Linked DNA regions of Cricetulus griseus. The protein of the gene in region 1 interacts with the protein of each later gene in a pairwise test. Links are inferred from orthologs where the notes say so. Each region holds a gene or a part of one and is shown in the gene's direction. Other genes may lie near its edges.

Region 1 (4,302 bases):
AGGTCGGTCACCCTGTACTGCTGGGTCATCCAAGACACTTCCAAGCTACCTCAGCAGATGGTCTTTCAAGTGTTTTATGATTCTCAACAGTCAGTTTCCATTTAAGGGGGAAAAGGCAGTCTGGAGAGATGGCCCGGCTGGCATCATAGATGGCCCCGGGTTTCTATTTAAACGGGAACTAAATTACTCTTTAGTTCATCCCAGATGAGAGGGCAGCAAATGCTGAGTCAGGAGAGGAGAGGGGAAGTCTGAGGTTTGCAGCCAGGTATGGAGAGCTTGGAGTGAAAGCAGCCTCTGGCGGTCAAGAGACCCCCCCCCCATTCGCCCTGCTAACCGTTCAAGGTCGTCATCTCAGCTCCTCTCTCCTTGACTCAGCATCTCCCTTTGCCCAAGGGACTCCCGGGTTCTGGTCTCAAGCCCAAACTCTCTCCTCAGAGACGTGTTCCACTACTGTCCTCCCCCCATCTCAGAGGCCTGGAGGCCCCATCCCGTCCCACCCCGCAGCATTCACTAGAGCTCTCGCCCCGCCCTTCACGTTGTGCTACATTTGCCCCGCCCACATCCCTCGCCCCGCCCATATTGGGGGCGTGCTCTAGACATCCTCGTTTGGCGCCAAATACATAGAGATTCGACGACTGGGTTGTCGGCCTCGGTGTTCGGGCTCCGAAATAGAACCTCGGCCCGGACTGGACCGGAAAGCCCGAGTGGGAATCGTAAGGGATTCACCTTGAAAATCCCGGGGAGACCGTGGGTTCGAGTGGGGGGTGAGTGGCGAAAAGAAGAAGCACGGGAAAATCTGAGGAAATCTCTTAAGCGTTGAGAAAGCGCGTCCTCTCCTTGCCCTTTCTGTGGTAATTTTTGGTTATTATTGGACTTGGCCAGGTGACTGTCACCTTTCACTCCGGCCCTGAGGCATTCCCTGCCTGCTGTAAATCAGTCCGACCTGAGTCTTGAAGGCCTCCTCGGGGTTACCAGGGAACTAGGGCCTGGAAAATGTAAGCCTCAGGGGCCTGACTGAACCGCCTGCTGAGAGGCCACGGGCTTCTGACCCCTTCGCTTTCCCCTGCCACACCCCGCCTGTCCCCTGAAACCTTTCCCTTGCCACTCCCCCCAGTCTCCTGACGCCCCTTCCCGTGCCACTCCCCCCCCCAGTCCCCTGAAACCCTCCTCCCTGCTGCTCCCCGACAGTCCCCCGAAACCTAGGCTAAGTGCCCTACTTCAGATCCCAGGGTCGGGGTGGGCACATCGGTGATCCCGGCAGAGGAAGGCAGAACTGAATTCCCAACCAGTGGGTCTAGCAGACCCTGTAGCTAAAGGAGAGAGAGGAATTTGCTGATTTGTTTTTTTCAGGAAGGATAGTCTGTGGAATTTGGGCTAACCGCTCATATTGTGGAGAGCGGGCATGGTGGTGCCTGTAGTCCCAGAACTGGGGAGATGGATGGGAGAGGAGAGTCAAAAGTTCCAAGCCAGCTTGGATGGCCTATGTAAAACACGTACACATACATAAAAAAAATCTATCTCAGGAGGCAGAGGCTCCAGGGCTTCAACACCTGACTTTGATATTAAACGAGGAAACAATAAAGCAAGAACAAGATTATTCATTTTATTGCAATGTACACCATCGTGTCTGTTGCTTCCCTGGTTTAAAAAAAAAAAACAAAACGAAATTGTCACTGGATATTGTTCCAGCTAGTTTTATGTCAATTTGATACCAGCTAGAGTCATCTGAAGGGAGAGAACCTCAATTGAGAAAATGTTCCTGCAAGATCCAGCTGTAGGGCATTTTCTCATTTTCTCAATCTCATTGATGATTGAGGGCCCAGCCGACTGTGGGTGGTGCTATCCCTGGACTGGTGGGTGCTAGATTCTATAAAACAGTCTGAGCAAGCCATGATGAGCAAGTCTGTAAGCAGCATCCCTCCATGGCCTCTGCATCAGCTCCTGCCTCCAACTTCATAGCCTGTTTGAGTTCCTGTCCTGACTTCCTTCAATGATGGACTACAAGTTCCTTCCCAACTTGATTTTTGGTCGTGGTGTTTCATAGCAGAAATAAAAACCCTAATTTAGACAGGTATTACCATATTTTTACAAAATTATGAAACTAGTAAATACTATGGAATATATAGTTTTGTGAAGCAAAAGATACATACATTTACCTGTGTAGCAATTCACAACCAGAAATCAAGAAGGTATTTATCAGGTATGAGAAAAAGAAAGTCCCCCCACCCCCCACCCCGTTTGTTTTGTTTTTTTTGTTTTTTGTTTTTTGTTTTTTTTTTTTTATTTTTCGAGACAGGGTTTCTCTGTATTGCTTTGGAGGTTGTCCTGGAACTCTCACTATAGACCAGGCTGGCCTTGAACTCACAGACATCACCTGCCTCTGCCTCCCAAGTGCTGGAATTAAAAGCGGACCTCACTAACACCTGATGAAAATCCTTTTACTTGAAAGATACAAGGAAGAATGATACAAGGGTTTTTTTTTTTTTTTTTGATTGTTTGTTTTTGAGGGGTGTTTGAGATGGGATTTCCTTCTGTAGCTTTGGAGTTTGTCCTGTAACTCTCTCTGTAGGCAGATCTCTGAGTTCAAGGCCAGCCAGGTCTACAGACGAGTTCCAGGACATCCAGTGCTACACAGAGAAACCCTGTCTCAAAACAATGACAACAGAAAAAAAAAGGGGGGGGGAAGGGAGGAAGGAAGGGGAAAAAAGCAAGCAAGCTATGGAGAACAAGTCTGTAAGCAGTATTTTTCCACAACCTGTGCTTCAGATCTTGCCTCCAGGTCACTGCCTTGAGTTCCTCCTTTGGCTTCCCTCAGTGATGAACTGTGACTAGGGTGTGTAAACCCTTTCTTCCCCAAGTTACTTTTGGTCAATGTTTTATCACAGCAATAAAAAGAAAATTAGGAAAACTACTTGTTTGTTTGTTTGTTTGTTTTGTTTTTCGAGACAGGGTTTCTCTGTAGCTTTGGAGGCTGTCCTGGCACTCACTCTGTAGACCAGGCTGGCCTCGAACTCACAGAGATACGCCTGCCTCTGCCTCCCGAGTGCTGGGATTAAAAGCGTGTGCCACCACTACCACCTGACTTTAAATAATATTTCTTATTTTCCAGAATTGATTATTTTTCTGCCATTTTCCTTTCAACATGAAAGAGGATCAAATTGTGCAGGAAGAATCAGGATTCCAAGATGAGGAGGTATAATAAGAATGTTGGAAGTTATGATGATGTTCAGTTTTCCATGAAAATCAAATTTCTTGTTTAGGAACTGAAAGTAGAAATAAGACATACATATAAATGTGTAACAATTTCTTTGGCAAAGGGTGCTAAGTTTAGCCACTTAGCAACTAGTATGAAAGTTTTTGTTGTTTGTTTTGCAATAGAAGAGATCCAACCCAATACTTCTTTCTGATAGGTAAATGCTCTTCCACTGGTTATATCTCCAGCCCCAAATGAAAGCAGATTAATAACAACTTACTGCTTCCTGTGCACACTGGTTCTGAAAAGGATATCAAGATTTGTATTAAATAAAATAGGTCAGATGGGGGCTGGAAAGATGGCTCAGCAGTTAGTTCCTCTTCCAGAGGAACAGGGTTTAATTCTCAGCACCCATATTGGTTTGTTTTCTAAATATGTAACAACTTGTTTGAAAAAAGTGATTGATCCTACTTCAGTGTTTAGAGAAATGGACCTGAAGTATTATGGAATGACTAGTGAATGAGTATTAGTCACTCCCCAAAATGTGAAACATTTATTTAGATATGAAGATATAAGATACATTCTTTCTATTTCATTTAGGAATCTTTTTTTCAAGACATTGACCTGTTACAGAAACATGGAATTGTGAGTAATTTTTCGGTACAATATTAAACAGTCTGTTCCATTTTCTCAGCTTTGTCCTTACCAGCCCAATATAATTATTTTTTGATGTTTGTTTGTTTTTTGTTTTTTTTTTGTTTTTTTTTTTTTTGTTTTTTTTGTTTTGAGACAGGGTTTCTCTGTGGCTTTGGAGGCTGTCCTGGAACTAGCTCTTGTGACCAGGCTGGTCTCGGACTCACAGAGATCCACCTGCCTCTGCCTCCCGAGTGCTGGGACTAAAGGCGTGTGCAACCACCACCCGGTCCCAGTATAATTCCTTATTGTGAAGAGGAGCTGTCTGTCTTAAGTTGTTTAGCAGCATTCTTGGTGTTACAGAACAATTTAATCTCAGTATATGAGAACTGACCCCCCACGGGCCAGAGATTGAAACAAAGAAGCAGTCAAATCTAAAGTTGTACAGAATATAAATAAGGGGAACTTACTAACAG
Region 2 (5,003 bases), about 1.2 Mb from region 1:
CCTCCTGAGTCGGCTTTTGGCAGGATGCTGTATCACAGCAACAGAAAGTGAAACTAGGCCATTCCCTGAGTCATGTCCAGTGTTTGGTACTTTTGGTACCTGCTGTGCTGTCCTGAAAAGGACACCTGTCCTTGGGATCCCGCTGAGCAGTTGGGGGGGCGGGGAAGCAGAGACCACATCCCTACAACAGCTTCCCCCCATTTTCGCCTTCCTATCCGAATAATTCTCTGGAACACCAATGCCAGAGGGACCATCCCAAAACATCACCCCAAGGCCATTCCTCCTTTGCAGAGAGCTTTGGTGCCCCACAGGCCTGTTGCACAGCCCATACTCCTCAAGGACTGGGCAAGGCATCTGGGGGTGGAGTATTCACAATTTCCCTTCTCCCATCTTGCATACAGACATGGGCAGGTTACCATGTGCCTTGCCTCCAAGCTTCAGTCCTATCATATTTATGGAAGCAGATGGCATCAGGGAAGCCAATATCTGAACTTCATCTTCTGGATATCCACTCCTTAGGCAAACTCTGTTTCCTCCAGATTAGCCCAAGACTGGCATCCAGAGCACTCTGGCTCTTGTCCCTGAAGACTTATGTCTGTTCTTGATCCCACTTGATCCACCCCTCTCTTCTCTCCATCCCTGCAGACCAGTGACCATTGTGATCAGCCTCACAATCCCCACAAACCAGGCTGCCTTTTCCCTTCTCATTCCTCCTAAGCCCTGCTGTCCAGGCTGAATCCAGCTGGGAAAGGAGTTATGTGTCTGCTTCTGTTTGCCCTTGGGGTGTGGGCAGCTGAAAGGTGCAGGGAGCTTGGTGGAGGAGGTCTGGGCTTAATGTGGGAGCCCTGACCTAATCCTTGACAACCCTGGAAAGAACAGAGGAAACAGACTTTTGTATGGAAATGTACTACTGTCTCTTTACTTCTGTAGCCCCATTTGTGCCACTATCTTGGCAGTACCAACCTGACAGAGCTACCAGGAGCCTAAATAAGTAATGTATATTATATATTCACACAGAAATGTTCAGACAACCCTAAATTCAACTAGATGTTCTCAAAGAATCTAGGAGGTAGAGGTGACACATGGGGCAGAAAGAAATATTGCTGGTGTGGTTTAGCATACCAGAGACCGTGGGCTCCATCCCCAGCAAAACACACACACACACACACACACACACACACACACACACACACACACACACACACACACACACACTCACACACACACATGTGCGTGCACCTATTAGAAAGCAGGTATATATAGGAATCTCTGGAGGAAGAAAGTTTTCTCAGGTCAGTCATTCCTCAGCTGGGCCCCCCCCCCCCCCGCACACAGAACAAATGAGGAGAATAGCGGATCGGGGATCGCTGTTTTCCCAGGGCTCTGGCCTTCTGCAAATCAAGCAGGCTGGTCAAAGGGAGAGACCAGGTGTCAGGCCGCCAAGAAAGGTAATGTGGGGCGGGACCTGCTGTCCCAGCAGCACCAGGACAAGCGCAGAGCATCCCAATCCTAGCTCCATACTACAGCTCCCGGCATACCCCGCGCCTGGTACCCGCCCCGCAGCAAGCGGAGGGGAGGATGCAGACACCGCAGCTGGCGATGAGGATGGAGGCCGGGGAGGCAGCGCCACCGGCGGGGGCGGGCGGCCGCGCCGGGGGCGGCTGGGGCAAGTGGGTGCGGCTGAACGTGGGGGGCACGGTGTTCCTGACCACCCGCCAGACGCTGTGTCGGGAGCAGAAGTCCTTCCTCAGCCGCCTGTGCCAAGGCGAAGAGCTGCAGTCGGACCGGGTGAGCCCGCCGATGGTGGTGTCCCGGTTCCGCGTTCTGAGGCTGTCCAGCCTGTGCGTCTCTCGGCCTCCGACCTGGTCGGTGTAGCATTCGTAGGATCCCGAGGCGGGAAGCCCGGGCAGGAGGAGGGGTAGGAAGCGAAGCTGAGAGGGATCGCTGTACCCATTGCCGTGGCAACGGGACAGCGCAGGCCGCGGCCATTTGGAGCCTTGGAGCGCTGCCCTGGATCCGGGACGCTCCCTTGCTGTGGGGCGGTGCTGAGGGACTTACAAGCCCGGCCAGCCGTGCTGTCCTGGCAGACTCCAGCGTTAGGAGTTGATGCAGGCTGCTTCTCCCTGCCCTTGGGGTGTGGGCAGCTGAGGGGTGCAGGGAACTGGGTGGAGAAGGCCTGGGTGTCTTGGAGGTGGGTTTAATGTAAGGAAGAGCCCTGGCCTAGCAGATACCACTTGTGAGCTCACCCTGCTCTCCTGCCAACTCCCGAATGACCTGGGAGGAGTGGGGAGTGGGATGGATTTCCCTGATCTGACTCTGTCCTCATGTGCAAGACCTCTGGAGTTGACTTGCCAAAGTTCCTTGGCCCCCATTCTGTGAACCTCTCACACTATGTCCTTGAGCGAGTCCCCTGCTTCTTGATGGGGTCGTATTGATGCCGGCTATGCCTCCCTGCAGGCTGCAAGTGTCCAATCGGAGAGCAGCTCCTTTGGAAACTTGCAAACATCTGGTGGATAGTGGGGTTAGCTCAGGGGAGCAGCCTCCAAGAGGGAAACTTTCCCAGGAGGGGAATTCATTGAATCCTGTGTTGAGCTAGGGGTCGCTCAGAAATATGGTCACACCCTATGCTCACACATAGTCCTCTGGTGATTCGGGAGAGAAGACATGCTCAAGAGGCCAGATGATGGCTCAAGGTCACACAGCTGGAAAAGGCAGAGGCAGGGCTGGAGCCCAGCACCTTGTTGTTCTATCTCATCTCTCTTTCTGCAGTCCTTCTCCAGCTTGTGATCAGTTGAGCTTATGTGTGGGGCTGGACTTGTGGAAGTTTGCATGCCTCTCACTTCCTGTGCTAATCTCCACAGGATGAGACCGGGGCCTACCTCATTGACCGTGACCCCACTTACTTCGGGCCCATATTGAACTTCCTCAGGCATGGCAAACTGGTGCTGGACAAGGACATGGCTGAGGAGGGTGAGTTGGTTCATTGGGCTGGTCTGGGGCTCTCTGGAGCGGGCCAGAGCCATCCGGAGTTCCTAAAATCATTCTTGTAGCCAAGGTGGCATCTACTTTTCCCCATTATTTTCTGCCTGTCCTGGAATGGGGTCCCATTCTCCAGGTCTCTGCCAAGCTGACAGACCCAGGCTGTCATGAGTGCTGTTGGGGAAGTGATGTGAAAACAGGAAGAGGGTCAAGAGGCCCTGAGGCTTCTGCCTTTGGGAATGACCTTTCTCCTGGCCTTCAAGAAGGCCTGATGGGGCCTGGGATGCTCCAGGCTGGATGGGAGAAGAACTGGGTCCTTCTTTGCCTTATTCTGTGCCTCCCAAGCAGGGGCTTGTCATCAGCCAGTTCGTGGAGTTCCCAAAGCTGGCTGTGGGGTGATGTTCCTGGTAGGGCTGCTGCCTTCCCAGGTCTGTGGAGGCTCATATCCAGGCCCAGCTGACATGGAAGCAGTGTGAAGAATAGGCCAGGGCCAGGGGACTACAGTCATCCTCAAACCAGCTCTCCTCTGTACACTTGAGTGTAGCTCTGGATCAGGCCAGGCCAGCTTGGACATATAGTCTTCTCTGGGTCTACACTGGCGCCTGCAAAATGGGCATCATGACCCACATTCGGAAGAGTGTGTGTTGGAACTGCAGATGAGTTCCCTGAATCTGTGGCATTTCTCACAGTCCTTGCTCTAGTCAGTCATCTTCTCTGGCTGACCCCAATGGGGTACAGTGATCTGAAGAGCCCCCAAAGGACAGGGTGATCATTTCACTCAGAGCTCACTGTAGGTAGCTCACTCTGCCTGGTCTACAGCTAGCTGCCAAGCAGTCTAAGGGGAAGAGATCACGTGGGTAGGGCCTGGGCTCAGGAGCAGGTCCCTCTGGGAGGCTCATACTCCAGCCGAATCACAGCCAACACCTGTTTACAGGTTCCAGCTCTTTAGAGCTCTGATGCTCTCATCTCTTCAGGCGGGGTGGGGAAATATCTGAGAGATGGATTTCAGGAGGAAGCTTACCATGTGACAGTGGAAATGTTAGTTAACCTCTCTGTGTCTATGAAGTTAGTGACCGTTGCACCTACCATACCAAGCAGTGGGAATGTGGAAGGAAGTTCCCCCACAGTAGGAAGCAGCCTAGCCTGGGGTACACAGCTTTGGGTTGGATGGCTCCCAGCCAGGGCCTGGGAGATTTCTGTCACTCAGGCAGTTGTCCTTGCTGACTCTCCCTTCCAGCATGTATTACTTGAGCACAATAGAGATCAGAATGACCCCCGACACAGTTTCAACTCTGTAAAGAAGTACTAGAGGCCAGGGGACTATGACAACAGCAACTGACCCCACCCACTCTGCAGGCTGGGATTCAGGGTCAGCGTGTTAGCCTAGGGGCTTCTGACCTGACCCTTTTCCCTGCTGCTAACTGTCCACTTGTGTGCTGCATGAAGACAGAGGGATTCACTGGCCATCAGCCTCTTCTTTCAGAAGTCATACTTCCTTGGGTTTCCATCTTTATGACTCTTCACCTCCCACTGGTCAGAGTCCCTCCATCACATGGCAGTGAGGTTTCAAAGGTTCAGTCTGTGATGGTCCCTGTCTCCAGAGAGTCCAGCAGCCCCCTGCCTTTCAGGGACTTCCTGTAGTCCAGACTCTTGGGAGCTCTCTGAACTTCAGCAAGTGGGAGGAGGGATGGCTGACTTGATCTTGAAGTGTATCTGCTTGATCTTGTGTGTCTATCACACACAGACAGTGACACCTGCTTCCCAGGACCTCTGATGGACCCACAAGGGTTTTACCAACAGTTATGAGTGGTAGCTGGAGGTACCCAAAAGCTTATTTACTTCTGGTGAGGGTCCAGAGCTCTAAAGGTTTCAAGCTGTTTCTCTCTTGGCCTCAGTCTCCCCAGTGGACATAATGAAAGTGCTCATTTCTAATTCTGACAAGTGCCATAAAGAATGTGATGTTCCCAGCACAGGCCTGGTACTTAGCCTGCATTTGATAAATGGGGGCACACAGTGGATAGCCT

Evidence for each region. The genes of interacting proteins can lie anywhere in the genome.
Region 2: the proteins of Dmc1 (region 1) and Kctd17 interact in binary tests that used the Homo sapiens proteins (3 or more experiments, as listed by UniProt). The two-hybrid records come from large-scale screens. The link is inferred for Cricetulus griseus from reciprocal best matches to the Homo sapiens genes DMC1 and KCTD17.

The regions. Positions count from the first base shown.
Region 1 is NC_048595.1:376,764,169-376,768,470, reverse strand, and holds part of Dmc1 (meiotic recombination protein DMC1/LIM15 homolog), read left to right. Parts: intron 1-596; coding exon 597-713; intron 714-3,793; coding exon 3,794-3,838; intron 3,839-4,302. UniProt on the Homo sapiens protein: Participates in meiotic recombination, specifically in homologous strand assimilation, which is required for the resolution of meiotic double-strand breaks.
Region 2 is NC_048595.1:375,531,409-375,536,411, forward strand, and holds the start of Kctd17 (BTB/POZ domain-containing protein KCTD17), read left to right. Parts: upstream 1-1,563; 5' UTR 1,564-1,578; coding exon 1,579-1,788; intron 1,789-2,861; coding exon 2,862-2,970; intron 2,971-5,003. UniProt on the Homo sapiens protein: Substrate-adapter for CUL3-RING ubiquitin ligase complexes which mediates the ubiquitination and subsequent proteasomal degradation of TCHP, a protein involved in ciliogenesis down-regulation.